Linked DNA regions of Lytechinus pictus. The protein of the gene in region 1 interacts with the protein of each later gene in a pairwise test. Links are inferred from orthologs where the notes say so. Each region holds a gene or a part of one and is shown on either strand. Other genes may lie near its edges. The genes, in order: intersectin-1-like; ATP-dependent RNA helicase SUPV3L1, mitochondrial-like; epidermal growth factor receptor kinase substrate 8-like protein 2; dynamin-1-like.

Region 1 (8,018 bases):
TAAGGTATCACACAGGAAGCTGCTCTACAAATTGGAGTATTATGGCATTACTGGTCAAATGCATGGATGGATCAAAGCTTTTCTATCAGGCAGATCTCAGTCAGTTCATGTTGATGGAACATCCTCACCACGAGCCAGTGTACTCTCAGGCGTGCCGCAAGGCTCAGTACTCGGGCCTGTGTTATTCCTGTTGTACATCAATGACATCTGTGAATGCATCTCATCACCAATCAGACTCTTTGCTGATGACTGTGTGCTGTATCGCAAGGTCAAGACAAGAGCTGACCACGCCATTCTCCAGCGAGATCTTTCAACATTATCAGATTGGGCAAAACTGTGGGATATGTCCTTCAATGTCAAGAAGTGTGCCCACATGTGTATCTCATTGAAACGACAACCCTTGGCTTGCAACTTTACCATCAGTGACCAACCTGTTCCAACGGCAACCTCCTGTAAATACCTCGGTGTGACCATCACAGACAACCTGAGTTGGAACTCCCATGCACAGAAGATATCCTCCAAAGCTGCTCGTACTCTTGGAATCATACGTCGAGCATTGGGTAAATGTGACCTGAAAGTGAGAGACATTGCATACAAGCAACTTGTCAGACCACAACTTGAGTATGCTTCATGTGCATGGAATCCTCACATACAGAAAGATGTACAAACATTATTGAGAACATTCAGCGTCAGGGTGCTAGGTTTGTCCTTCATGACTATAGCAGAGAATCCAGTGTAACATCGATGTTGTCAACTCTTCACTGGGATACTCTCCAACACAGACGCATTCTTAGCCAATGTGAGATGTTCTACAAAATTCATCACAATTATGTTTACATCAACATGCCACATCAGATTAAGTTAAGCAGCAGTTCTCGTCCACAACGTTCACAACACACTGGACATCAGCTCAAGTACACCCAGCCTTTTTGTAGAGTGAACTGCTACATGTACAGTATGTTCCCAAGAACCATCCGTATTTGGAATACTCTCCCAAACGCTGCTGTAACTTCGACCTCTATACCTGGCTTCCGGGGAGCAACATTGCCTATCATTCAGCAAATGTTGCCTCCCCCTCCCCTTAAGATGCTGTAAGAGGGACACACACGCACCACCCGCACACTGCACCTAGCACACTGTATATAGTGCACCAAGAATACCACCACAGGATCACCACATCACCTGAAGCACTGGCAGCACCTGACATAGCACAACCCTCTCCAGGACAGCGTGTACGCTTTTGGGAGAGTACTTCTTCAAGGTTCAAGGTTATAGAGGAGATCCGAAAAATAGCGAACTAGTTTGCTACAATTCCCCCTGGTGTATATATCGAGGAGATCCGAAAAATAGCGAACTAGTTCGCTACAATTTCCCGTAGTATTTATATAGAGATCTGGAAATAGCGAACTAGTTCGCTACAATTCCCCCTCGTGTACATATCTAGGAGATCCGAAAAATAGCGAACTAGTTCGCTACAATTTCCAGTTGTATGTATATAGAGATCTGGAAAATAGCGAACTAGTTCGCTACAATTTCCTGTCGTTTGTATATAGAGGAGATCTGGAAAATAGCGAACTAGTTCGCTACAATGCCCCTTCGTATATATATAGAGGAGATCCGAAAAATAGCGAACTAGTTCGCTACAATTTCCAGTTGTATGTATATAGAGATCTGGAAAATAGCGAACTAGTTCGCTACAATTTCCTGTCGTTTGTATATAGAGGAGATCTGGAAAATAGCGAACTAGTTCGCTACAATGCCCCTTCGTATATATATAGAGGAGATCCGAAAAATAGCGAACTAGTTCGCTACAATTTCCTGTCGTTTGTATATAGAGGAGATCTGGAAAATAGCGAACTAGTTCGCTACAATGCCCCTTCGTATATATATAGAGGAGATCCGAAAAATAGCGAACTAGTTTGCTACAATTCCCCCTGGTGTATATATCGAGGAGATCCGAAAAATAGCGAACTAGTTCGCTACAATTTCCCGTAGTATTTATATAGAGATCTGGAAATAGCTACAATTCCCCCTCGTGTACATATCTAGGAGATCCGAAAAATAGCGAACTAGTTCGCTACAATTTCCAGTCGTATGTATATAGAGATCTGGAAAATAGCAAACTAGTTCGCTACAATTTCCAGTCGTATGTATATAGAGATCTGGAAAATAGCGAACTAGTTCGCTACAATTTCCCGTCGTTTGTATATAAAGGAGATCTGGAAAATAGCGAACTAGTTCGCTACAATTCCCCCTGGTATATATATATATAGAGGAGATCTGGATTTGACAATTTGACACGTCGTATATTATAGACTAATACAAGGAGATGGCTACAAATTTCGACGCTTATATATAAGCGTTGAAGATCGCTATATTTGCCATCTTATTATTTCCCATATATTATTGATCATAAATCAGTATTTCATGGTCTGTTATTTATTTTGTGTACAACTTATAGGTCTGGGTCTGCTGAAAAATAGGCTGGCAATTTAGTGAATCTTGCAAAAAAAAACTTAGGCATATTGACTCACTGAACTGTGCGATCTCGATTCTCTGCCTTTTTCAGTCAACAATGAGTATTAATCCAAATAGTGAGTTTGGTTTTTCTTCCATGCCACAGACTTTGCCACTTCTTAATTTTATCCAAAATATTTCAAAATATTTTTAAAATATAGAAATATCAAAACATTAAAGTTATTCCCTTCATTCCTTTTCTTCAAACATATAGTTTTATTTTATAGTCAACCTACGACGCTACGCTTGCCTCCTCTTCAAACTTAAATTTGCCTCTTTATAAAAAGGCAAATTTACTGGATACTGTACAGGATATATAAATGTAAATTCCCGATCAAGATATTCATGGTTTTATATGGAATTAATTTTGATATTATAAGCGACTGAAAACATAAATTTGTGGCTAATATGTCAAAACATTATCTGTCCCACGTGCAAACTATGTCCCAGTGATGACTTGTGAGAGAGTGAGCTCTGATCATCATCATGCTGGTCTTGTGTATCGTTCGATTTCGCATCCAGGTGGGTGTTTCATCAAAGTTGTCAGCCCTGACTAAATTGTCAGTGCTGACCATTTTAGTGAAAGCCTCGCTTTTGATTGGCTGAGAAGCTCCCGCCTCTGACTGTTACTGTGGTTACTGTTGGGGAAAGAAACTTTTTAGTGCTGACAACTTTCATGAAACACCCTGGCACCTAAAGTGCATTAAAAATCAGCGAAGCAGGTAACCTTTTCAATTATTCAGAAATTTGTGAGCAGGATAATTTAGTTGTGTCCATGCATGCAGTGTCAAGCCTCTGACTGTTACTATGGTTACTGTAGGAGAAAGACAACTTTTTAGTGCTGCCAACTTTCATGAAACACCCACCTAGGCTAAAGAAGTGCATTAATTAAAAATCAGCGAAGAAGGTAACCTTTTCAATTATTCAGAAATTTGTGAGCAGGATAATTTAGTTGTGTCCATGCAGTGTCATGATTAGACCATGGAGCTATTTAAGCTTCATGATTAGACCAAAAGCTTCGGTCTGTTGGCTGTTCCACTGAACTCCGTTGGCTCCACTCACCAAATACAGAGACCAAAGTTCTAGCTCGATCTGTACAGGGACTCAATGGCCATATGTTTATGTATTAAGTTCGGATAAAACAGGGAAGTGAAGTTGCGCAACAGCCGAAGTAAGTCACTGTTTTTTCCCCTTTTAAGTTTAGTTTTCCCCGTTTTGGTGCATTTCAGGCCAAAACACGTAAACGGATACTTGGTATGATGTTCCTCCGAAATACTCCAAGTCCAAGTCCAAGAAGAGTTTATTAAACTGGAGTGGAGGTGTATACAGTTCTCCTTGTAATTTGTATATTTATGAAATAAAGACAAAAATTGATGAGCCCCATTGGGGGGATTTTGCATTGTTTACCCCCTACTATGGTGGCTGCACGATAGCGAGCCGTCTGTGTACGAGGAGAAATTTATTATTTAAAAAAATGTTAAAAAACTCCTCGAAACAGACAGCTGGCAGATGTCTACGTCATGATTTGCATTTGAATTTAAATTAATCACTCCATCCTTTTTATTTTACCAGTTACAGTCAGTATAACAACTAACATTATTAGTTAAAAAAGAACTTCAAAACAATGTCTTTGTCAATGCTCCTTCACTCCTTCCCTACCAGCTCTTTGACTTTCTCCCTCCAACCCTCAGTCACCCCTCCCTCCCTCACTCACTCACTCAGCTATGTCCTGGACCGCCTCGGCCCCGGCTGCGCCCTTGGCCTTGCCGCGGCGGCTGCCGCGCCGCCGGCGCGGCGAGCAAAGGCAGAGCATGCATGCCAAGTCCCATGACACGTTGAGTGCAGGGCGCGGAAGCCAAAGGCACGCACACACATAACTTAGTAGTACTTACACGGATGCAATCATCATCAAAATCAAATCAAAGTTCCCATAGTTCGATTCAAATTCTGTCTTAACTTACAGATTCACGTCACTCACCTCATTCCCAAGTAAAAGTTCTTTTTTTATGAGCGGACCGTCTGATCTTACTGACCAATAGACGAATTTCATCATGAATATTCACTTCTGGCTTTCTGCTTGAATTGACCGAAAGTCCAGTAACTTAACGTAAGCAGACGATATATGTCAAAGGTCATAATTGTGATTATTTACTGCTGTTACATGGATTTCTATTGGTTCGTATAGAAGGGGCGTGCTAACGTTAGAACTTTTATTGAAGACTGATTTGCTTGTTTTCTTGATGTTTTATAAATCGAATAATATATTTCATTGTGCAATGTGTGTATCAGATGATTCAATTACAGAATTGCCAAGTCTGTAGCTAGTATCATTCATTCCGTGTCTACTCTGAAACTTGTAATAATTCCACATTCTCAGAAAATTGACCAATCAAACTTGCGCTTTCTATAAAGGTGGGTGGGTTACATTTCCTCTAAGTTAGGTTCTACATGTAGCAAGATGGGCGAGTCCACTTTCTGTCTCCGGATCGAACCGAGCTGAGTTGATTAACTTCTTTTTTTACTAGAATCCCCCTTCGTTCACCCTTTTCAAAGGACCTCTGTCATTTATTAAACATTTCATCAATATTAGAGTATTACTGGTGAGTATGATTTCCAAATCGATGTGCTGCCAGCCTGCCACTGCACTCGTTGATGTGACCTGCGTGAGTGGGGACGGATGTGTGACTGTCTGTGAGCGGTGAGCACTGCCACCACTGAGTGACATGACTGAGCTGATGAGGCCTTTCCTTGGCTTTATTATTGGGCTGTGTCCTGTGACCACACTGGCCTGAGCCTGAGGCTGTGGTGCACTAGTGTGACTGTGGAGTGTGGGCAGTGTATAGGCTATCATTGAATCAAATAAATATCATGTCTGTTTCCGTAGTACAAATGTTGAATATTAATAATAATGTCATGATAAAAAAATAGAATTGAAAAAAATATGCCGGATGCCGGAGTCATCATGTAAATTGTAATGTGTGCCCAAAAATATATATATTGACACTTCAAAAAAACTCCAAAGCATAGATCTAATTCCATAAAAAATTAATAATATGACCAAAAGTAACAAAAATGCAATTACTGAATCATATAAAAGCCATGTTAATTCCGTAGTACAAATGTTGAATATTAACATGATTAATGTCATAGAAAATAGAATTGAAAAAATTATGGTAAACGGAAATTATTTACTTACTACCAGAAGCTTGTTTTTTGCCAAAAATCGGACGCAGTTTCCAATTATCGGACGTGTAGAGTTGTGCGCCGCTGCCGCGATCAATTTTGGCAATTTAAATCGCGCTCTAGACTCCAAAATAATTGCTCAATTGTTGATAAAATAATTTTAGCTGCGCAATGCCGATTTTAATAAGGTATTTCTATCAATGATTTTGATATAGAAATCGGTAAATAATAATTTACTTACCAAATGGACCTCTTTCGGCTCTAAACATCGGACGTCTTCGCTCAGCTGGGCGCGACTTTGTTCTGAAAATGAGCGCGCGTGCGTTAACAGCTCACGCATTTCCAATTCAATCGGCCGATATGTCCGATGTTTGGGATCGTGCCATACAATGTATTTCCTGCCATGGGGAACCCTGCAGCGGCCATTGCAGATTTTTTTTTGCGATAGATCGAACATGGGTGCGGTCTCGGCGGTGATATTTCCGGCGAAAATCACTTTCCCCTTAAGAGATTCTTCTGGAGTCCATAATTAGCGAGGGTCATAAGAATCTTTGCCACTTTGGAAGTCAAAATCATGGATTTTACCCCTGGAATATTTGTTTGAGCAGCAACCTGGATCTACTGTGTGTGCAGTTCAATAGTAGGTATGTTCATGTATCTCAATGCATGCAAGTCCCCCGCCAGTGCAGGTCCCTGTAGTTGTGGGGAGGATCGAGTTGACGTCATTTCCGTCCGATATTTGGAATCGTCCGATGTTTGGGGGTTTTACTCTAGACAGATTTAAAATTGATATGCTCCGCGGTATCCCATCTGTTAATAAGCCAGTTCACGGTTAGCTCATGATCAACTTTTCTCAAATGACCTTTGTGATTTTTCATTAGGATAAGCACTATCATTTTCAAATGTAGATGTTGCGTAAGCTTTACCAGTAGTAGAGTACGGTATTCAAATTCTAAGAGCAAAAGGCATTGTATAGACCAGGTGACTAGAATAGAACATCAGGGATAAAGTTTGGAAATCTGTTTATTGTCTGCCTTTGGCACATTTGACTATTGTTTAGGCTACTGTCAAATACCAGTGATTATGAAGGCTCTATTTATTACTCTTCATCTTGGATGTGATAAAATGAATATTTTGAAAGGAATACATGAATAATCATCAAATCACAAATGCCTATGTCAGTGAATTTGAAAGCCATGTTCCTTTTAATAGGCAAATTGCACAAATCATAAATTTTCAATTTTTGTAGGAATGCCATAGCAGATAGCAATATGTTAAGTTAAGAAAGAAATAAGAAAAATTATGTCTGACCTGATAAACCAAAACTTCACACATGGATCATTTGTTTTTTGTTTTTGTTGTCAATTATGTTCTGTGATGAAAAATAATAATATTTGATTTGGTCTACATGTATGGTGGAAGAAAATATTGCTCATTATTTTTCAAATATTGAATGAATTATTCTTTGTTCAATTAAAAATAATGATAAATGATGTCATGATGTACATGTACATGTAAAGGGTTTTGTTATTTTTTTTTAAAATAGATAAAGCAAGTAGTAATCAATGCTATTGCCACTAAAATCAGGGGGAAAAAATGCAAACCAAATCAATCAATAAATGTTCTTGTACGTACATTTGATTTCTAAGATAAATGCCTCTGTGGTAACAATTTCAAAATGGGTTCATACCATCCAAGTGTATCTTTGCACTGAAAAAGATACTGTGTCATAAAATTCAGCAAGAAATTGTGTCATTGCTGAAAAATAGGAAAATAAGCTTGTGATTCCAGTCAAATATCAGGGGCCCGTTTCTCAACACCGTCATAAGTCTAACTTCTTGACTAAATCGAAGATGGTGAGCTACTTGTCCGCTTACCGTTTCACGACGCCCTCTGCCAAGATCGGGGACAACAACCTGACTAAATATTATTTTATGACAACTCTGAACCTGTCATAACTTCTTTCTTAATGACATAGTGGCTTCACGTGGGTAGACTATGACATGCGAAAGTGCCTCGAAATTTGAAAATTATAATCTTACGTAATCATTAATAGAAGTTGAAATTACATTGAAAAACTTGTGTGATAGATCATTCAATAATAATTGTAATGCACAGTAACTATAAAAACTGTTGGTAAAATGCAACAAAACCATTCATTTTTTAATAAAATAATGGAATCGATAAAGATTTTACCACGTCAGGTTATCCATAACTGGACTCGTATTCGTCGTTTTCAGACACTTATCAACATTTTTGATAAATTCTATCTCTAATTTATGCAAAGAATTCGTCAAATCGTGTGTTTAGGTATGTAA
Region 2 (7,448 bases), on another chromosome or scaffold:
AGATTGGTTGCCGGACGACTGTACGGGCATGCGCGTTGTTAACTCTCAGCTCAGCGATCGAGATCGTAGACATGCAAAATCAACAGCTGATTTTCATATTAAATGCCGCTTACCACCAAAATGTAAGTATTATGAGGAAGTTATCTGATAAGATACTACTTATTTTTGAAACTGATGAAGTAATTATATTCATACTTCAAGTTTCATCGGGTAATCTTGATATTACATCTGGTTGTTGTCATTTTATTTTCAGCCGAATTAAATGTATTCAATGATTAAAAACTTGACATCGATGTCTATGGATGGGACCGAAATGAGATTATCGTCGACGCGCAGACGACCGCAGTGGTTGAGACAAATTTTCAATTTCTTGCATTTTGTGATATATCTAAAAATAGTGGATGTACAATACAATTCGACTCATCCAACAATGAATAAGTTTTTAATGTAATTTCATTTCAAATAATCGATTAAGATAGCGAAAATCGGTAGTTCAAACCCCAGACTTTGGATTTTCGAACCCTGTTTGCCATCGTCAACAAGGACCGTAGCAGACAACATATGCTCTACTGAGCATGCTCAGAACCGTGGTTTAAAATAAAACCATGGTTTAAACCATGGTTTTATTTTAAACCATGGACTAAAGAAACCATCGTTGGTGAAACAGAGAGGGGGTTTAAACCCCCTCGGGGTTTAAACCGTGGACTAAAAAACCCAGGAGGGGGTTTAAACCCCCTCGGGGTTTAAACCTCCTTTGTGAATTCGGGCCAAAAAGTCAAGAGTTAGGCCTAGATATTAAAAACAAAAAATCATAAAAATTCAACTTGAAATGTTTTTTAACTAGTCTGTCATTAGGTTTTAATTTCAAGAATGAAAACTTCTTATCTTATTTCAACACATTAACATCAAACAAGCACTTCACAGTTTTCTTTTATTATTTTTTGTGCATTCAGGAACAGCATTTACATAGAATGAAATCAGATTGACGTGGACACGCCCATCAGCCCCTCATCAAATCTATACATCAGACTTTGTCTCCCTATCCTGACAGTGGTTGTACTCACTGTGAACTGTGGTGTTCCAAATCCTCATCAGATATGCCGGACAACAAGAACCAATTCAAGGAGGTGCTCCCGAAACAAGGACTTGTCTATCAGGAGGAGCAACCAACCTTGGTCCTTTGCAAACCAAAACTTCTTCCACTGAAGTCAGTGACACTAGAGAAGATGGAGAAGATGCAGAAAGATGCACAGGACAAGGTCCAGGAGCAGGAGATGGCAGAGAGGTTACAGCAGTCTCAAGGAATGAGTGGATTCTGAGATCAATGGACATTGCCTTAGCAGGAGTCATGGGGATGGAGAGCGCCCCACCCCCATAAAAACTGTTCCACTGCAATACTTTTTCTAGAAAAATGCACTGTAATTTTTAACTCATTTTGTTAATTACCATGTTGCATGGTCTAACCACCACATCACTGTATTCATGAGTTGAAACAATTATGAGTCTGTGGTCATTGAAACAATCAACTTCTGATATCAGTACATATCCATCATTAGCAAGTAGAAATTAATAAAAAATATTTACCTGACCAATTGTAAAAAGCACAGATAAAATACAGCAAAGAAACATATACAGTTGTAGACTTGTAGCAACTACAAATGTGCTAGATAAGTAGAGAATTGTGTTTATATGACAATGCATTACAAAAATGCAAACAGCAGGTGGTTCACTTCCAATGCATGTTGAATCTGTATGCAGCAGAAGGTTCTTGAAAGTAAAACAAAATTATGAGACGGGAACAAGTACAATTATTTTCTGTTCTTAGTGATTGTTTCTTTTGTCCAGTTGCTCAAAACAGCGTTGTTAGATAATGTGTGGTCATTGAAACATAGACCATTCAAATAATGATAAGGTTTATGATCTTTGATATATTTTCAAGAATCCTTCCCTTTTTCTGATACACCCAGTAGTAGAGCATATTGATTTAAAACAGATATATAATGACTTGATGGATGATGCCTATATCCTTTACTTTATGCAGTTTATTTGCTATTCTTTTTAAAACTTGTCCTGAAGTTTGAATGTCAATATGACATTTTATTTTGTTTTCCTATGCATTTGCCAGTGAAATATTTTCAGCTTTGAATTGTAGTTTTACCTGGGGTATCTTCGATGAAACTACTCCATAATACATAGAAAAAAAGTGAAGTAGAGCTGCTTCATTTTTTCCCCTTTAAATTTGTAAACCACATTCATTTTTTGTTAGTCTCATGTTCATGCTGTAATTTCAGGATTGCAATTGTGCAACAAGGAGAGAAATTCAAAAAATAAGAAGAAGGTCTTATTTTAATTTCATTCTGTAGAGTACTTTAAGTTAGCCTGCCATTATTTTCAGAAATATCCAGTCAATATTGATTTTAAAATATAGTATTATTTTGCTAATCCTTTTTATTTGTTTTTCAAAGCATCTTCGGTTCTTGATTTCCATTCTAAAAAAATGTATACTGTTAAGTTAAACTTGTCAGTGTCATTATGTATGGAAGTTACAGGGCATTGAAAACAACATCAAGTTGATTTACATTGTAAGTAGATAGTGAAAAATCAAACAGGCATAATGCTTGCAATTTCGTCAAAATCAGTTAAAGTTTTGCTTGATTTTACAATATGTATATCAGGGGTGGAATACAAATAAGGAACAGTTGCTGTCTCGCATTAAGTGCATTTATTTCTTATAATGAAATATATTATTTTTCATGTGTTTCCTTCTTATATTTGTAAACCATGATTTGACTTTGACTCTATGGCTTGAACATGTTAAATGCCCCAGACTTAAATAATCAAGGGGGGGGGGCAAGCAGGCCTCCCCCAATCCATATTTTTCATTGTATGGAAAATGCTCTCTGTGAGTGATGATCATGTTGGGTTTTTTTTCCTCAAAACAGAAGGGGGGAATTGCCCCACCCCTGGTAATAATAATGATAATAATAATAGCGGTATATTTACCCAGGGTAGCCGCTTCAGTTCCGAAAACTGTTCTCCCAGCGGGCCCTGCTATTAAATTCTGGATCTGTCCATTCAATGACCTTTAATGTAACTTCTACAAATCATTCAAATGTTGTTTTTTTTGTGATCAAATCTACAAAACCTGAAATGGTCTGTATATCATTTAATAACTTAAAAACAAAATATTGAAAGTGTGACATCATCAACTCTCATTTATTTCACCTTTTAATCAATTCAAGCTGAATGGAATTGAGTTTGAGATTTCAGGTGCAGTAAACATATATGATTGTGTTACAAAAAATTTCCCTCTTATATTTGTAGATAATAATGTATGGTTTTAAGTGAGCAGTAATGTAGCTTATTTATTTATTTATTTGTTCTCTTCTGGGAACTAATGAAGATGTGAATTAGATGATAGTGTGAAAAGAAAATGATCAAGAATACAACATTTGAAGTGTTTAGCATGATTCTTTTTTTATTGCTTGAAAGTACCTGAAAAGGGGGTTGAAATGGTGAGGAAACCATCAGTGGAAAAGACACAGTGCAAATATTCATACTAGTAACTAAATGATAAGCACTGCATAAACAAAATAAAACAAAACGATACAATAACTGAGTGAGTTCAATTGTGTGTAGTATGCACTCATGCCACTTCTTACAACCAAGGAATTACACACAAACTTCACATTTCACGTAAGTGTATGAGGGGGAGGGAGGAAGAGAGAAGAGAGAGAGAGCATGAGAACGAACAAGGGAAAGAGAGAGATGTTAATAAAAGCAAAGAGAAAGTCGTGTTGCCTCTAAAGGAGGGGGGGGGGGTTCACCATAGCATAATGTTGGCTTTAATAAAAGCAAAATTTCATGTGATTTCATGAAAACGCATTAAAGAACAAATTGAGAAATATTCTAATTTTATTTTGTGATGTCACATGCTGGCAGCTCTCTGATTGTTGTGAGATATAAATTCCTTAAAAAGCAAAATTCTAAAAAAATTGAAAATTATTTTACCTGTTCTTTTAATATGCTATCAGACACAGATCCTTGCAATGAAAATATTTTCAATCATTTCAATATATAAAAATATAAAATTTATGGAGATTATACAAATATTCGCATATGGTATCACAAAAGTTCATGTCTCCAAAGTTATTTTTTGATAGATTTCTGTCAAACTTTCATTGAGTGTGTTTCTCTTATTTTTCTGCAACTTGATGTCAGAATGGAAGTGGGAATTCCCCTTCAATTTATTCACCATGCATTTCATTCTAAAATAAAACATTATGTTTGATATATTAAAAGTGCTAGGAAAGTGCAAACAAGGCAAAATGAAAATATGTTTTGTGTGCATGTAAATGTTGCTCTGAAATGAATGAAATAACTGCTCCAGAAGGGCAGAAACGCCCCACCCCCTCTCAAAAAAAGTTGTGGTGATTAAGATGGCCCTCTACGTTACAAACTTGTTAACAACATGTGTAACCTTAAATATTCCCGAGTGGAAATAAGTTCGGAGGAACTCAATTGAAATAGCAATTGGAGCAGGTATTTCATTTTTCCTTGATGTCAAATAGTATATATTTGTTTTATAATGTCTAGTAAATATGGTCGGCCATATTCCATTGTCAGGACATTTCGTTGTTTTTCTTGTGCACAACGAACACTTCCAGCAGTACCACGAACGATTTTAAACAGAACGTTGGACTCTCACCATGCCGCAACTCCGGGGTCAGGGATCCACTCCGTCCGTCGTCGATCATTTTTATTCGCGGCGAATTCGGGAGGAGCTTGTCGGGAGAGCGGGCGACCGGCGTTAACAACTTCTTCATCTGGGATCTGTCGGAGTTTTTCAGACAAGGATGACAAGAATGTTAGAGCATTGTTTATTCCTGTTCCTGTAAAACCTGCTAATAATCCAGATGACATAAACATCGGTGAAGAGCTTGGTGCAAATTTGAAGAACAAGAAAGGTATGAAAATCATGTTGAAAATAACTTGAGTATGTTAACAGGCCTGCCTATCGCCTATGCTTGTTATTTATATTTTCTACTTTAGGGGTCTATAGGCTTATTTCTAAATTATCATGATTATGATGTAATGCAATGTGGTGGCTATAAGGCTATATTTCTTGTAAGGAAAATGAAATAGAATGTAGTCACAAACATCTCAGATTCATTATTAATGAACGATCGATTGTGAATGTTTTGAAATTGTTTTTTTTGGTACTAACGGCTTAGATTTATTATACATTTCATAATGATCTCCCGTTCTCCAAAAAGAAACATAAAAGGACGCATTTTCTCAACCTCGTCGGAAAGGAAAATGAAAATTAATAGATGTCACGACGATCTCAAATTAATTGCACAATCTATCAGGAAATGTTTTAAAGTTACTTTGACTTTGAGACTGTTTAAATATTGCGCCAAGAGGTATTTCAAATTGCCACCGATCATACCGATACACGTATGATCGGCGTGAAACAGCCGATCAGCCTTGATTAGATCGTTATTGGCTGCCGATCCGAAGATCAGGTATGATCTAAATCAGTGATTTTTTATCCATGCATATTAATTTTATATTTGTTCTTTTATTTTTCAATTTCTTTACAGATGAATTGATGAAGATTCTCACAAAGTTTTCAAAAAGGCCAACTATCCAGAGGCTTGCCGAAGAAGAAGGATTAGATGGTAAGATGATCTCTTACGAATGGTCATATGTAGGCACAGCAGTGACAGCACCATGTATTGTAGTGGCACTTACAGAGGCACAACTGTCCTTACTATTTCTTAAGATGAAGGAAATAGAAGTGTATTGGTAACAAGAATGCTTGGACGTGCTACTGATATGAATTTGTTTCATCATTGTTTCATCATGAACCCCCCCCCAAAAAAAAAAAAATAAATAAAAAATACCCTGGAGCTGTCCTTCACCAAGTGGATAAATGTCTTTGGAAATGGCACTTGACTCCTGTCTGGATCATTGTAAATTATTTTCAGTCTTTGAGTCAATAGTCCTCTGGGAAGACGTTGATCTACATTACCTCCTTGTGCTTACCCAGCACAAATCAGCATAGTTTATTAGGGCCCGTATTCTCAAGTCGGGTTAAATCTAGAGTAAACTCTGGTTTAAAGTTGTGGATAAACTATGAATGACCAAGAGTGCAATAAATCTCAAACAGTATAATTTCAATGTATCAGCTCATTGTTCTCTCAAATCATTTTTAACAGTTTTGGAAGGATAAATAAATTTTGGGCTTTCCATAATTTTAGCACAGAGTTAAACCATGGTTGAAGTTAAACGTGGCTTCAGAATACAGGCCTAAGTGTTTGAGATACCATGGTGCTTTGAAATTACTCCCAAGTGAGTTACATATGTGCATTCATTGCGGGTAAGTTTCATTCTGGTCACCATTTCATTAAGCTTAGTCAGCACTGACAACTTGTCAATCTCTGATAGTTACTATAGTAACAATCAGATCAATGCTTCTTAGTCACTGGAAACCTGGATTTCACTAAAATTGTCACTGCTGATAATTTAGTCAGTTCTGAAAACTTTCATGACACACCCCTGATGATTAGGAAAATATGAAAAATGCTTTGATAAAGATGTACACAAAAGAGAAAAGAAAGAATGAAGAGCTTGATGTCCTGCTTATCTCATGTCTTGGTATCCTTTCTCAGATAACCTCTTTCATCAAAGTTTCATGAGCTTCAGGAAATACATCACAGAGGTGGAGTCTGTGGAGCCTGATCTGCATATTATTCTTAGTGACATTCTGGTAGGGGCGGGGCATATAGATGACATCTTTCCATACTTCATACGCCATGCCCGCCAGATCTTTCCTGCCCTGGATTGCATGGACGATCTGAAAAAGATCAGTGACCTCACAGACCCAGCCCAATGGTAAGTGTTGATCTGCATTTGCACCATTTTGTACCAGGATAGTATCCTGTGGGCAATAATTCAGAAAAACAATCAAAGATATACAAAAGATCTGTAATGTCGGAGTGGAGAGTTTACCAAACTTATCAACTACCAGTATTTAAAATAATCTTTAAGAAATGATGAAAAAGCTGCCATTTAAGATTGTAAATCATTTGAGATTAGCATGAAACAATGAAATTTTGAATGTTTACAAAGTTTAGGAGTCAAAAGTTCAGGAATGAAATGGAAAAGAGAGAGAGAGAGATATATATATATATTTGTAACTATACCTACATAGAATGTAGTATGGAATAGCTGAAGAAAAATAGAGAATATTAATGTTGTAACCCGCAAGTGAAAACCCGAACCGTACCGTCCCGTACAATCCATTAATTTGCAAGCGGGACCCGTTGACCCGTCCGGTTTTAACCCGCAAGTCAATTTATCTTGGAAAAATTAAAATTATTTCTGCAATCCCCACACTATGCAGGCTCAAATCAGGAAAATATATGCCAACTACTAACCTA
Region 3 (7,139 bases), on another chromosome or scaffold:
TTGCTGAAATCGTAATATTTATGAAATATTTTCACCACAACAATACTCCTATGGATACACGAAGACATATTTTCTCAGTCAAGCATGTAATGGTTTTTTTCCCTGGCATTGTGTTATTCCAGCTGAAATGTTAAGCTGTTGTTAAGGACCGATCACTTTGAATGAAAAGAGGGATAGGAAGTAGTATTTGGTTTTAAGATAATTATTGTGGTAAAGTTATTAACTTTAAATAGTGCAATAGCTATCTTGTGAGAGGTCCTGTGTGCCAAAAAACGCTTGAAGGTAAAAGAAGATACTTCCAGCAAAAAAATATTTCATGAGAAAATATTTTAAATCAAGATTAATTGTCATCATTCTTTTACCATACATATCTACATCTGGCACATTAATGTACACTTACTTTTGAGAAATCATGAAATATTAGCTAAAAACCGATAATTCTGATGATCACTAATACAGGAAAGTGTATGTGTGACAGTGTATAAATATTGCTTGGAAAATTACCCAACATTTGATGGAATTCCATTCTTATTTTACTCATTTCTCATCAATTTCACATTTTTTTCAAGAGCCTTTTGCCACATATTTTTTAATTTATACACTGTTTACAAACACTTTGTTGGTAATTTTATTGGATTCTGTTTTGAGATCGTACCACAACTGGTATTTATCTTTAAGACATTTTTTTCAGAAGTTGCGAAGTTTTTCTTTATAGAATGACACTTCACTGAGACCCGTCAAAACACAATTATTGCAGATATTTGAAATATGTACCACATCCTCTATTCATATTTAACCATTTGTTTGGCATGTCATTTCACTCCAACATTATTAACAATGCTCTTCATTATGCATTCAAGCTCACAATCTGCAAGAAATGGGTAATATGCCAGTCGCCACGGCAACTGGTAAAGATCAACACCCAGGAAATTGACCTAATGAATTGCGCAAAAATTGCTTGGCAAATACAACAAGAATGAAGCTCGATTATGGCGAGATGAACTGGCCTTCTGTATTGAAATGACACACAAAGCTGTTTGGATTTGGACTATCTATAGAAATTGCAATAAAGGCAAACAATTTTTTGGCATACATAGAATTCCTGGACTATTCTCTACATTGAAATGGAAAGGAGAGGGGCTTATCAAGGGGAAGTACAGCGATGGCACTGCTTCGGGGCATATCAACAGGTCTGTAGGGGGCTAGATGGGGGCAGGGGATGGTGGATGGGACCCCCTTTTTTTACTCGATTGTCATCAGAATTTCTATTTCAGCCACTCTATAGATCCCAAATGTGACAAACTCTTTTTTAAAAATCATTCTGCTCTGGAATATTTGCACCAGGAGCCTGACCAAAAGCAGACCTGCCAACCAGTACGTTTTGGGCGTATTTAGTACGTTTTTGCAACCAAAATACGGCAGTACAAACATCGTAATTTATTGAGGAAAATCATCTCTTTATGTATGTCTCTATTTCATAAAACTTACACAAATATGGTTGTAAGATCAATGTAATTTCAGGTAATTTGGTCCTTTTTTTTTCAATCATTTTGTTAAAACCAGGGTGAGATTTACACATTGTTTAAATGTTTTTTTTTTTCATCTGCAAGAGCAGTGCGCATTTTAGCTTGCATGCAGCTTGAGCGCCGCGATGAGCGAGCACGCCACACATTTTATTATGAAATACACTTTTTTGGGGAAAAATACACTTTTTTTAATCACATAATACACTTTTTCATTACCAGAGGTTGGCAGGTCTGCAAAAGACCCATCCGCTTCCATTCCTGCTGGAATCCTGCAAGGTTTGTTTTTGCACTAATTCTAGCATCTATCATACTAGACAAAGCAACGGGGTATGTCACAGGAAAAGTGCTGCAAAAGACGCTTACCCCCTTCCCGAATGGGATTCCCGGTAAAGGACTTATGGTATTCCCCCACCCACACTCGCATACACACACTTATGTGTGCCACAGCAGAGAAAGAAATTAGAGTTGGTAGTTCAATAACTTTTTAGGTTTCATTTGAAACTTTGAAAGAGCCCCTAGATCTTTTTATGGAGATTAAGGGATGGCCAGGCATGATTGTCTTCTGGAAGCCTTTCTATCGACCACTGAGGGTCAGTTCCTTAAAATCTTCCATAATAAAAAATTTTCACTAAAAGCCAAGCTACTGTCATAACTCATTTTCATTTGCTGAAGAGTAAATTTGTTATAGAAATTGTGGATTTGTGATATTAAAGGTAAATTCCAGTTCTGGTAACGATCTCAAAATGACTTTTTACGGAATCTAATATAATGACCACCCAAGTGTCTGTTTGTATGAATAAAAAATATGTGCCAAAGGATTCTGGAAGAAATTGTGTAATTGCTGAGAAATAAGCAAAATAAGCGCGGATTCGGTCACTTCCGTCGGGTCTTTATTCCAGCAATAATAATACACTGTCCCACGTGTGCCTATCTGTGTTGGCGATCTTCAGTGTGATCGTATTTCAGCTTAGATTTTATGATTTCACAAAGTTCAGTTTATGTAACTGTACCATATCTAGATCCACGATGATATAGTCATCCTTAACCTTGGTTTTACAGACTTTCTCACGAAATTAGTGTTTTACTGCAACTACTGTAATTTAGCTTTAAAGTATTTATGCAACAGATATGACCCAGATCCATATTGTATACATGCCTAGAGGCTGATCCTAGAAACAATATCTTCAATTTATTGTACATCGTACATGTAGTCAATGTAATTGTTTCTAGAAAAATGTTACAGTCCGTTGCTGTGATTTGTGTTCGGGATCTCAGGTTCCAGTACACTTCTTTTGCGTATTACAATTGATTATTCATATTCACACCTCTGTATCATTAGCCGACCCATCCAATCTCCTTGTTTTTATTCCAAGATTTAAAACAAAACCCCCCCCCAAAAAAAAAAAAATAACTAAAGAATTGAAAATGATCAACTGGGTGAGATCCCCTGAATGTGTGCCCAACCCAGAGCCTCCCTACATGGTTTCATGAACAATTCTTTGAAAAATAGAGAAACGCAACCTTGTCATTTTATACAAAAGCGCTTTATGAATTGTTATGAAATTCCTTGACACGGTGCATTGGTTATTCCATAATACACCCATGGATGAACCAGTGCTTAGGAATGGCAAAGCGTATTAATAGCCATATTGTGAAGGATCCCATGTGACCTATTGCTGTTTAGAAGTATGATTTGGGTCTGTTCATACTTTTTAGTGAATCGTAATAATAACGATAATAATCATAGGTCCAAATAGGGCACACATGACTACTTCAGACCCCCATTCAAAATCACTGCTCATAAAAAATCATTAAAAAATCAATCCCTCGATTGATTTCATTTTAAATCACTGACATTAATCATGAGCTTGTGTTAATTTAGTACCGTACTTATAATTGATATTGACAATTTTGGGCAATCATTTGAATTAAAACAATCATTGCATTCTGGCAAGTAAATACTACGCAATCATTATTGCAATTTGAAGTCATTTGATGTTGTCAATCATTGTTTTTCATTTCAGTTTGGAATCCCTGTATTGGCAATCATTGTGTTTTAAAGTCATTTGATGTTGGCAATCATTGTTTTCAATTCCAATTTGGAATCCCTGTATTGGCAATCATTGTGTTTTGTACATGTAGGATTTGTTTGCCAAATATTGGCAATCATTGCATGTTTTCACCCATTTGATTTGGAAATCAAATTGCCAGTCATTTTCAAATATTTGCAATCATGAGTAATCTTTTGGGCAACCATTTGAATCAATACTGTCATTGATTTTGGCAGTCATAATGTAGGCAAAAAGTTGATACAGGCACAGGCAATGATTTCATTTAGGCAATCATTTCACAAATGCAATCATCACATTTTCATGTATGCCATCATTACAGATTTACATATCCTTCCGGATGTGGACGACATGCCATGCAATCAAAGTTTATTGTGGGAACACACCCTCACCATTGTGTTCTTTTAGAAAACGTCCTATTGAAACGTCATAGTCCAAGGTTCATTGGTCTTCTTTAGATATGGGGCGGTAAGAATATGGGCAAAGAACCAGAACTATTATATGCCCATTGCATTGATAGGTGTGTACATGGTCTTGTGCTGACTGCATTTGTGTATTATTATTACCTCCTAGAATAAAGTCATCAAGTCCTCCTGTGCGCTTCAAGTGAAATGCAGTAAATTGGATATTTTGGAATACCTTGCTACATTGTAGTTTCGGGGTTTGGAGAAAGAAATACAACAAAGATATAGACGTGTTTGTTCTGGTTTAATTTTGGATTTAGCCAGTCCCGCAGCCAAGTTGGTTTTAACTTTTTTAGTGCGGATTGCTGCTACATACCTTTGCTAGTTTCAGAAGTTGGACAAAACAATACTACGGAGATGTGGATGTGCTAGTGTCGGTTTAAGTTTGGATTTAATGATTTAGCCGAAGCAGGACATGGTTATAAAAACCTACTAGTTTCACTGCAGATTGATGCTTCATACAGTTGCAAGTAGTTTCAGGATACCACCGACTCTGGATATAGTTCCTGTTTAATTTGGATTTAATCATTAACCAAAGTGGCTGCAAAATACTTCTGTTTTGACTGCGGATTTTTCTTTGCCGACTTTAGTCCCACTTGGAAGTGACAGATGAAGGTATTGGGCTACTCCACTGTTAACCCTTCGACTGCTGGATTCTGTAATTCTCATAGGCTTTATACAGGGATCGCCCAGATCCAGTAGGCTACTGGATAATAAGATATAGGGGTTCAAAGCTACATGCAAAAATGCCTTACCAGAAAAAAAATTAACCAGAATTGTATGACCCCCCCCCTCCCACCCTGTGTGAGATACATTTGTACACCTTTTACTTCTATCTTTGATATCATGAAAACAACATTCTTCTCAGTTTGATCAATAACCGATACCAAACACATTTGTTTTTGCAGGGGGGGGGGGCAGGGGGAGGATGGGGGCGGAAGAGCTTGGGAATGAGAGAGCGGGAGTATCTTGGTTTTTATTTTACTCGTAAATTCTGTATTGGCTCACATACTGTACATCATTAATTGTTTTTATTCTATGTTATTGTTTACATTCAGTTGCTTTGCAATGCAATTCAACATCTATGTCTACAGATAATACTTGCCCTTTGGAATGTACAGGTACAATTTTATCATCTCTGATAACTTTTCATGTGTGTTTGCTTTTCAGTTCAGGACTACCTTTGATACTTACAGTACTATTTATCACTTGTGAACTATTTATGATAGTTGTTATTGCTGATACAATTTACAATTTTTTATATAGAATTCAACTCTGGATAATGCAGAATTCAATTCAATTCAGCATTTATTTCCATATTCATTAAAATGAACAAAATGAGAACAAAATTATACATACACAAAGGAGATATAAATAACATAAAACAAAGCATACATGTAGGTATCAACAGAACATAACTGAAACAAATAGTGGTGATGATAAAATTATGGTTGTCACATAATTATAAAAACATAGATGAACAAAATAATTGGGCATGCACAAAAAACAATAAAAAGGCTTGTTAAAATGCACATACCCAAGAATTGCATCCCCTCACAATAAAATACCATCATTCACAGGGTTCCCACAGTCATGGAAAATCCTGGAAAGATTTGTGGTCATGGAAAGTCAGGGAAGTTTGAAAATTTGTGAAAGGAGTTGTAGAGCAGGAGCCGGCGAGAAAACCCAACTTTCAGGCAGGTTGACTGGCTGTCTTTAGGAGTATGTACCTCTATTCACTTTTCTTAGTCATTTCTATGACTTTCCACGTGATGTACCAAAGACCACTTTCGACATTTTTTGTTAGTCGTCTACTAGTCAACCTTTTTTTATTTCATATTCATATCATTTCCTCAGGTGGTTGATGAATCTTAGAATTTGAGATCGAGAGACACCGTAACGAAACCCACGATGCCGATTCCGACAGGAAGACAGAACCCGTACGTCCAGGAGTCCCCCTACGGACATCATGGGGGCCACCATCCACAGTGAGTATTCGTTTTCGTCGTTATGATTTGTGAATGTTCAGTTTGTCATTGCAATCCATAATACCCCCCCCTCCAAAAAAAATATATATATATAATAATTAAATAATAATAATAGTGATAATTATTATTATTATAATAATAAATAAAAAAATTATAATAGTATGATAAATATATAAATAAATTTATGAATAAATGAATAAAATAAATAAATATTAATAATAGAAATATAACATATAAATGATTGAAAAATAACTAAATAAATGAATGATTGAATAAACAAGTGAATATATGCAAATATGTACATCAGTGTAATAAAAGTAAATAAACAAAGGAAAATAAATGTATTGCTTTCATGAATCACTTTTTATTGATAAAAAGGGAAATCATTAAAATAAATGATCACTGAGTATTATACATGTAGTGCATCTGAATTTGTTTTCTGTGCGTGTATTCAAATCAACTTTTGTTTGGATTATGCCAGGGCCTCGTTGCATAAAAGTTACTATTATAGTAAATGTGCTTTCGAATGGTATCTTTCATGGAATCCTTGATTCTGATTGGCTGTCTAGCCTTATTACCATACCATCATGGTAGTGCCATTATGGTAAGTGCCATTATGGTAACTTTTATGCATTGGGGCCCAGATGGTATTCGTAACCCGTATGATAAGTTAGCAAATGACAGTACTCAGCATGGTGTAAATCATGTGACATACATGGAATATCAAAGTAACCTCAGACTGGATCTACAGTACACATATTAAGCCTTAATCTGATAGAATAATAATAATCCAAACATCTATGTAGCACTTTTTACGAAAATATCTCTGAGCGTTAAAGAGAATAGATAAAAAGAGAAGGAATTCCATCAATTAATTACAGTTTGCAAATTATGTGAGGAAACTGAGGAATGATGTTCGTAGTATTGAGATTGATGGTGATTTTTTAAAATTTTTTTCGTTAGAATGTATTGGACACATTAGGTTGGATTGTTGAAATTTATGATGCATGTTTGTGTCTGAAGGGGGCTTGAATTGTGGTTGAATTTTCTACTGGTAGTGAAAGTGAACGTGGGAAGAAAGAAATGAGTTAG
Region 4 (8,120 bases), on another chromosome or scaffold:
TATGTTCTTGAATCCGTTGTTCATGGTGGAACTACGGACGCAGGAACCCGTTACTGCCAGACTATCGCAGTCACATGCACCAAAGAAACCGACTTCAAACCGACCCATGGTATGAAAGTCGTAACAAAGTATCTAGCCGTGATCGTTCTGAAGTCAGTTTGATTAGTATGACTGCAACCTGGCCTATGAACTTGATATCGATGACATCTCAACAAGTCCAAGGGTGGGAGGGTGTATGTTTTTTTTTGGTTAATTCAGTTTCATCTGATTCCACTGCTTCGCTGTAGATTAATTTTATGTTATATTTTGTATTTTTAGACTAGGTATTTACCTAGTTCTTTTTTGGGCAATATTCTTTCAGATAATGTGTTATGTATATGTTTTTTAACTAAATGATTAATTCAATAAAAAAAAATATTATTACGAGCTTGTATAAATATGTCGAAATACTATATGATTTTTGTGCAATTTTCTGTATGATGAATAATTATTTGACTTTTGTGAACAGTGCTTTTGTTGAGAATGTCATTTTGTTAACATTTTGCAATTTAGTATTACTTGTATGATTTTGAACTGAATGATTTTAATAAATACTATTGCAAAACAAAAAAAACCTGTTTCAATCATAACCATGATGATGCAAGCGTAATTAAGACAGGCCTAGGTCCACTGGGGTATACAGGTGGTGGTATATATGTCAAAATCTGTCGCAAAATTAGATTTCTGGATATAAAAAAGTGTCAAATTTTTTACCATTAATATTCAGGAGCAGTCCTGCCATTATTATAAAAACCTTTTATTTTGTAAAGTTATGATATTTTGAATAATTGTAGAGTGTTCCTATTTAAAAAAAAACACAAAAAACTTGTGTTTAAAATTTAAGTGACAGCGTTCGTGTGGATCGTGTTCGAATCGGGGTTTTACGATATTTAATGCTTCTCTGGACTTGAGAAGGTACTAATTTGTTGATGGACAGCTCACACGTGTTTTCAGGCGTAGAAAGCAGTAATATGGAAAATTCGAAATGTTGTCTAATGGTTAATGGCCTTTCCAAAATCTGTCTGTTGTGTCTTAAAAATATTTTCAGTCAGCGCGCCAGCCAACCCCGTTCTTTATAAATTTTGATAAAGGCATTTAGATTACCTGGTGATAATGAATTAGATCAGAAATCATGTGTAGAAATACATTTATGTAGATCTATATGTATAGGCGTCATAAATTAAATCAGTATTGGGTTCGAATCCCACCGCTGCCACCATTTGTAAGACTTGGTTGTGCATAGGACTGCTGCAGCTTCTGTTCGTTTGGATTAGCCAGTAGTTAACTGGAGTGTTTAAGAAATACAAACATGTTACATAATTAGTTTTGAATTTATTTTGTATTGATCCATATTATATTTATGCATGATATTCAGTACAATTATAAATTTACTTAGCTACACTCTTAAAAATGTTGGGCAACGTACTGTCCACATAATAATTGGTTAAAACTTTATCCAATTCTGGGCAGTTTTAGACCAATATTGTGTGGTTTGGGTGAAAACTACACAGTATTGGTTGAAAACAAAAACTACCCAGAGTTGGATACATTTTTAACCAGTTGTTGTGTGAACAGTATGTTACCCAACATTTTAAGAGTGTATATAGCTAGAATATGTAATAGGCCTAGATTGAATATTTATTCACTCACGAAATGTCTCTCATTGCATGCTGAAACTAAAAACGATGACAATACTTTTTGAGGTTTTCATGTAGCAAAAATCTTTAAATGATGTTTCTATCATTTAGGGTTAATTATTCGTAGGGGCCAATCCCCCCCCCCCCGGTGTATAGGAACACCAAAGCTATAAACAAAAATGAAGCCATTGTCAATATATGTACAATTTTTATAACTATTTTGAAACTATTTTGGTATGTTTTTTGTTTCTGTATGTGATTGTTTCGCATTTTCATGAAATATCTGAAATCGCTTAAAGTTTAAACCCCTGATTCATCGGTGATAAAGCCATATTCTTCGTCAGAGAATTACAGCCGTAAAAGTCCGATTTCTGTCATAAATAACGGGCGTGAATAAGATTGATTGATCATAAGAAGTAAAAGGCACAAGAAATGGCCGTATTGACCCAAAATCCGGAGTCATTTTGAGAGGTGGAGCGTGAGGAAATCTTGAAAAGGTGTCGGCACTTTACAGGTTCCAGCTTGGGGTATGTTGATTATCCCATTCGGGTCAAAGGTCACCACTAAATTGTTTGATAAATCATCGAAAGTTGTCTCGTGAAAAGTACGAAGTGAGAGTCAATGGACAAGTTTCAGACCATTGACTTGGTATATAGGACTATTGAAAATTGGAGTATAAAAATTATTGTGTATAATTTGTACCATGACGTATATATTTATATTTACCGTGTGATTTAAAAAAAACTTGACACCTCACAAATTCACAATTCAAGGAAAAATATGTCATGAAGACATAATTATTATATATGGCGAGAAAGAGTATCTTCTCTCAAACAATTTGATACCATATATATATGGTATGTCTTCACACTTGGATAATCAGTAAATACTATTTGCAATAATGTAAATATTGATTTGCGCCAAAGTAAGGCATGACTGCAATGAATGAATCCATTGCAGATGTATATGTCATAACCCTACAAGGGTTTGCATTAATCTCAATTGCAAAACACATTTTCAATAATTAACATACTAATTGTTCAATAAACACTTTGTAGTATCAAGTTTCATGTTAATTTCATTGAAAGGGGAGATTTGCAGATATGTGTACTACATAATAATGCAAGAATATATACTTATATAAGATTATGACACCAATGACATCTGGGTTCATCCTTTGCAGCCATGCCTTACTTTGGCGCAAATCGAACTTTACATCACAGTAAAAAAAAACAAAAAAATCCTGATTACCCAAGCGTTAACAAATATCACATAAATATGGTATTTAATTATTTGGGAGAAGATACTCCTTCAGGCCATGTATAATAATGTTCGTGTCATATTTTACCCTTAAATTGGGGATTTGTGAGTTGGATTTTTTTTTACCCACACGGTATATGGGACTGGGCATGCTGGGTGTCAACCGCAATATATTTCTAAAAGTGTATAAAATAATGAGAAGGAGACAGAGAGAGAGAGAGAGCACCCAGATAATTTGAATGAATAAAGAATAAGCAGGCATGGACGCATGGTACAAATAATAATTTCATCTTAATTTTTTATACAGTATATGGTGTAAAAGCTTTAAGTTTTATCATGATCATCATCGTCATCAACATCATCATCGTCATCGTCATCACCATCATCATCATCATCAACGTCATCATCATCATTGTCATCATCATCATCCTCATCATCTTCCTCATCATCATCGTTGTCGTCATCGTTGTCATCATCATCATCACCATCACCACCACCACCAGCACCATTATTGTCATCACAATTCTTTATGAGTTAATATATGCATTAAAGGAATCTGAATCTCCATAATAATGCCATCATAGATACGTGAAACTTGAACGACCTTTTCTTTTATATGGGCTAGCGCCATCACTCGGTTTCTCTTAGCATTTCATTCCATTTCATTTGTTACGTTTTCAAATTGTTTTTTTTATACATCTTGATATACAAATTAAAAGCAATATAGCAGATTTCTAAGTAAAAAAAATAGTCAAGATTATAATACAAACGTTATTTATCAATGCAGCAATTTAAAATAATCTTTTCAAACATAAGAATTTCTGCCTTTAAGATATCTTTAAGATATAAGGTAAACACAATTAAATGGTCTTGTACTGAATAAGTCACGGTTTTTAATAAAACCAGGGACCGATGCTCAAGGTGATAGACAGCTGCTTGTGAGAGGAAAGATTCTCCCTCAAGTTACTGGAGGCAAGTTTTTTGTTTGAAAGTTTTTTTTTAATTGATTCTTTCAGTGACATTTACAAACAGCCGTGAAATGCAAACATAAACTGACAAATAACTTCCTAAATAATACACCAAGTTACCAGCAAAATAAGTTATTCATGAACATATACATAAATCTGTTAATCAATTAAACTGGTCCATTCATTTTCATAATTAGAGATTCGAAAAAAAAATACATTACCCCCCCCCCCCTCGCCTTCTTTAGTATAGCAGCCTGCACCGAAGTGGTGTGAGGAGAATCCCTTAATTTAACAAGCTCAGGTACAGGTGGCAAGGGGTGACTATTATAGTATTCCATTGTGGGACCAACATAAACCCTGCATGTGTTTTGGGAGCGTACTTACATGGTGTTCTGTTACTGTAATTAAAGTAACATTGTAAAGTGGGGCAGAGCCAAATACAATATATACAATCAGAAGAATATGAATATGACACCCATCAGGCGCAACCCCTGATTAAAATATCTAAAGGTCGACAATACGCTTACCTAGTTATGATTTATGTTCAAATAAGATTTTTTTAAAGGCAAATAACCCCCCCCCCCCCCCCAAATAAAAAAATGAGGAGAATTCCCATGATAGGGCAGGTGTATCACACTTCGAACTTTAATTTAGTGATTTCTTTCAGATATCAGGAAGCATGGAATTCACAATGCAACAACAAGGATATGAAACAAACGATTATTTCGCTTTCTATTTTAAGGGTTTCCATTCCTTGAGTGGAATGTGATTTCCTGGTAAGGATTTTTGTTTTGGGGCGAAGGAGGATGACACATAATGAATGACGTCATTGTAAACTTGCCTAATAGCAAATAGGTAGTAAAAGAAATCTGAATAGTGGAGCCAGAAGTTGTTGAATTCGTTGCTTATATGATCGCTGTGTATCGTAGCGTTCGTTTAGAACGTAAAATAAAAGGGTGCGCGAGTAAATTTGATACGGTTTACGTGCGCATGCGCGTGAAGGGGGGAGTCGGCCATCATAGGATTTTAATTTTGCAATAACATTTATGCGAAAAGAAAAATAAACTCGCAATCATGGCTGGGAATAAGGGAATGGAAGATCTTATTCCAGTTGTTAATCGACTGCAAGATGCATTTTCTGCCATTGGAGTAGGAGGTCTGCTGGATTTGCCACAAATTGCCGTCGTTGGCGGTCAGAGTGCAGGAAAAAGCAGTGTCCTCGAAAATTTTGTCGGGAGGTGAGTCGAGTGTAAATGAGCGCTGAGCTCTGTGCATTTGTGTTGGAAAAAACCGGCTCTCAATCTCACTCAATCAATAACTAATTGTGGTCTTTTATAGCACATCTTTTTCAATATAATCGCTTTAAATTCAATTTTCTGATTCTTAGGAATATGATATTAAACTATATTTTAGTTATTTACAATATATGAGGATCATATTAGCAAAAATGTAAAGGTATTGCTTTTAGGTCCAGAGCGGAAGCCGATCTCCTGCGGCTTAGACCCTGGTGGTGATTAGACGTAGCCCGATCGACCCGGCCCGAGCTACGCTGTTGATCCGCTCTGCACTGTAGACTGTGACTGTTCTGGCTTTGTGTGATCGACTGTGATTGCATTGTGGAATGGGTCGATCGAGCCGGGCTGAAATTGATGTATCTTTTCTTGTATCTTTTATCTTATCTTGATTCTTTAATCTTGCTCTTGGAAAGATGCTCGCAGATGTTTTAAAATAAAAAAATTGTTGCTTTTGGAGTTTTGACTTTTTGTTAGGGCCTATCTCTGAGCTGTTACCTGTGTTACTTGAGCATTAAAAAAAGATGTTTATCACTGGAAAAAATGCAAATTTTTAGGTTAACCTATTTTATAGATCAACTGTGTCTCTGGCCCGGGGGGGGGGGGGGTACTCAACCAAAAAAGTGGTGGGTATGTGCCGCGGGCGAGACAAAAACGGGGGCCTTGGAGCGGACTTATTGTAAAAAGGAGGGTCCTCGGAACTACAAATGTTTGTGAAAACGGGGGTCCTTGGAACGGGTCGCCTGCGTGTGCATCCCTATGGAGCGGGCATACGTGTATGCAGCTAACCCAGCGGCACGGGCACCGGGTGCGCTCGCGCAGAGGCGATGGTCGGACAGCACTCTGCGGCCGCTTTTCACCAAAATTGCAGTTCATTGTGGCGGATCAATGCGACCGGAACGGCGTAACGAAAAATATGCAAAGCTTTGGAGCGGATTTCTTTCTTTTCTCTCGATAAGAAGAAAATGCTATGCTTCGGAGCGGCTTTCTTAGTTCTTTTTCTCAATAAGATGAAAATGCTATGCCCTGGAACGGAAATTTGAGTGTAAAAATGGGGGTCCCCTTCGCGGCACATACCCATTATGCATTATATACTAAGTGCCCCCCCCCCCCCCGGGTCTCTGGTAAACTTTCAGTGCATTTTTGACATGAGGTGTATGAAAGGGGGCCCCGTGTCTGGGTATCTAAGAATTTAACTTAAGATTAAACATGAATTCTTTATTCAACAAAAATTGTCAGTTGATAACATACATACACTGTAACATTCCTATATTCTTATAAGTAAGTGTCAGAGTTGAGCTCAATTATGAAATTAATTACCTTTTTATGAGTAAATTGTAATCTTTGAAACTTGAGAAGAGTAATCCCTTTCAGCAGCTTCAAAGCTATCCCAGGATGAAAACGTTCTGTGTATCAGTGCGAGGTGCCATGTTGAAGTAATTTTAAATTTCACTTACATACATGTACCTGTATGTACATTAAAAGTGAGTGTGCACTGTGCAAATAAAAACTACCTCTTGGTTTACAGCAAGAGACCCAACAGGAGGCTGCTTAACTTTGTAATTCAAATTTTTGAAGGGAAAGTAATTATAATTGCAAAAAATTGTAATTGACTTCAATTTCTATGAATTAATTTTTTATTATGATGGGGGACCTAAAGCTACGCACATTGTTTACAAACGATAAAAACTATGCCAGTTTTAATATTTGAACAAATTATCTTTCACTAATTTGTGTATAATATTCTAAAGAAGAAAATATCACAAAACTCACTGATACGAAAATCCTGCCATGCCATGTTTTCCAAACACCTTGATTTTGCTGCCCGATGTACATAAGGGGTCCTTAATTTATCATGCAAAGAAATTCCTGTGCCTCAATTTCTAAAATATGCTATACATACATGTAACTTTAGGAAAATGTGAAATTAAAGTGAATATTACTCCCAAATTCCAAACAGTTGCTGGTTTTCTCCGCATTTAGTTATTTTGCAGCCTCTGTAGAAAAATTGAATAGGAATCATTTGTCTTCTGCAGTCGTACTTCACACGCACAGAGTGCCCATTTTGCCATTGAAATTACATGCGCGACGAGTGTTGCATAGCTTTAGGACCCCCTACCATTCATTGAATTACGGGTACTCTACAAAAAACTTGATTAATTTACTACATGTATGTTATAAATTTACTCTGGATTGCTCAATTTCTCTTTTCCCTACTGTAGTACTCTCTTGCATATCTGTATCCTTTCCCATGACGTGGAGAAAAGAGGGGCCGATTGCACGAAAGGGTCTTTCCAAGGACCGTCTTTCGTGTCGCCCATCTTTTATGATGCGCTATAAAGCGGGGTGTTTCTGAAATTTATGATAAACAAATAAAATTCGTAAGCTTGCTTTTAAATCAAATTTTATACAATTTCATGAGATATCACATCATTTTATAAACAAATATTTTGTTTATTTTAACGGACAAATAAAATATATTTGCAGATAATTTATTTGAAATGCGTTTCACATGGCGTATCATAAAAGATGGGCGACACGAAAGACGGTCCTTGGAAAGACCCTTTCGTGCAATCGGCCCATGGAGACACCATATGATACACGTAGGGATAAGAATGCTACTAATATATTAAAATCAAACTACACGTAGGCCAATATGTAATTATTCATACATGTACTAGCAAAAATTACATTTTTTGTAATCCCATGCAGTGTTAACAAACTTCACAAAATCTATAAATATTATGTACAACTTTTCCAAATGAGGATAACCTGGCAAAGAATAAATATGCAGCCTGAACTCATAATTTTGAAAAATTCACAAAAGTTTGCGTAAATGAACATTACTCTGCAAGTACACTGTAGACGTAGGCTCATGCGCTTTGTACATGTATGAAATCTCAGGCCCAGCTGCCCAGAACTTA

What was found.
Region 2: the proteins of intersectin-1-like (region 1) and ATP-dependent RNA helicase SUPV3L1, mitochondrial-like interact in a two-hybrid assay, tested with the Caenorhabditis elegans proteins (2 studies listed by BioGRID). The link is inferred for Lytechinus pictus from reciprocal best matches to the Caenorhabditis elegans genes itsn-1 and C08F8.2.
Region 3: the proteins of intersectin-1-like (region 1) and epidermal growth factor receptor kinase substrate 8-like protein 2 interact in a two-hybrid assay, tested with the Caenorhabditis elegans proteins (2 studies listed by BioGRID). The link is inferred for Lytechinus pictus from reciprocal best matches to the Caenorhabditis elegans genes itsn-1 and eps-8.
Region 4: the proteins of intersectin-1-like (region 1) and dynamin-1-like interact in a two-hybrid assay, tested with the Caenorhabditis elegans proteins (2 studies listed by BioGRID). The link is inferred for Lytechinus pictus from reciprocal best matches to the Caenorhabditis elegans genes itsn-1 and dyn-1.

Annotation. Positions count from the first base shown.
Region 1 is NC_087248.1:26,508,974-26,516,991, forward strand, and holds the start of intersectin-1-like, read left to right. Parts: upstream 1-4,940; 5' UTR 4,941-5,117; intron 5,118-8,018. Other genes in the region: quinone oxidoreductase-like protein 1, read right to left, coding at 4,496-4,570.
Region 2 is NC_087256.1:1,236,893-1,244,340, reverse strand, and holds the start of ATP-dependent RNA helicase SUPV3L1, mitochondrial-like, read left to right. Parts: upstream 1-4,316; 5' UTR 4,317-4,588; coding exon 4,589-4,967; intron 4,968-5,606; coding exon 5,607-5,684; intron 5,685-6,677; coding exon 6,678-6,900; intron 6,901-7,448. UniProt on the Caenorhabditis elegans protein: ATPase and DNA/RNA helicase able to unwind DNA/DNA, DNA/RNA and RNA/RNA duplexes in the 5'-3' direction.
Region 3 is NC_087250.1:9,625,752-9,632,890, forward strand, and holds the start of epidermal growth factor receptor kinase substrate 8-like protein 2, read left to right. Parts: upstream 1-4,094; 5' UTR 4,095-4,674; intron 4,675-5,916; 5' UTR 5,917-5,970; coding exon 5,971-6,047; intron 6,048-7,139.
Region 4 is NC_087259.1:16,671,965-16,680,084, forward strand, and holds the start of dynamin-1-like, read left to right. Parts: upstream 1-4,893; 5' UTR 4,894-4,978; coding exon 4,979-5,142; intron 5,143-8,120.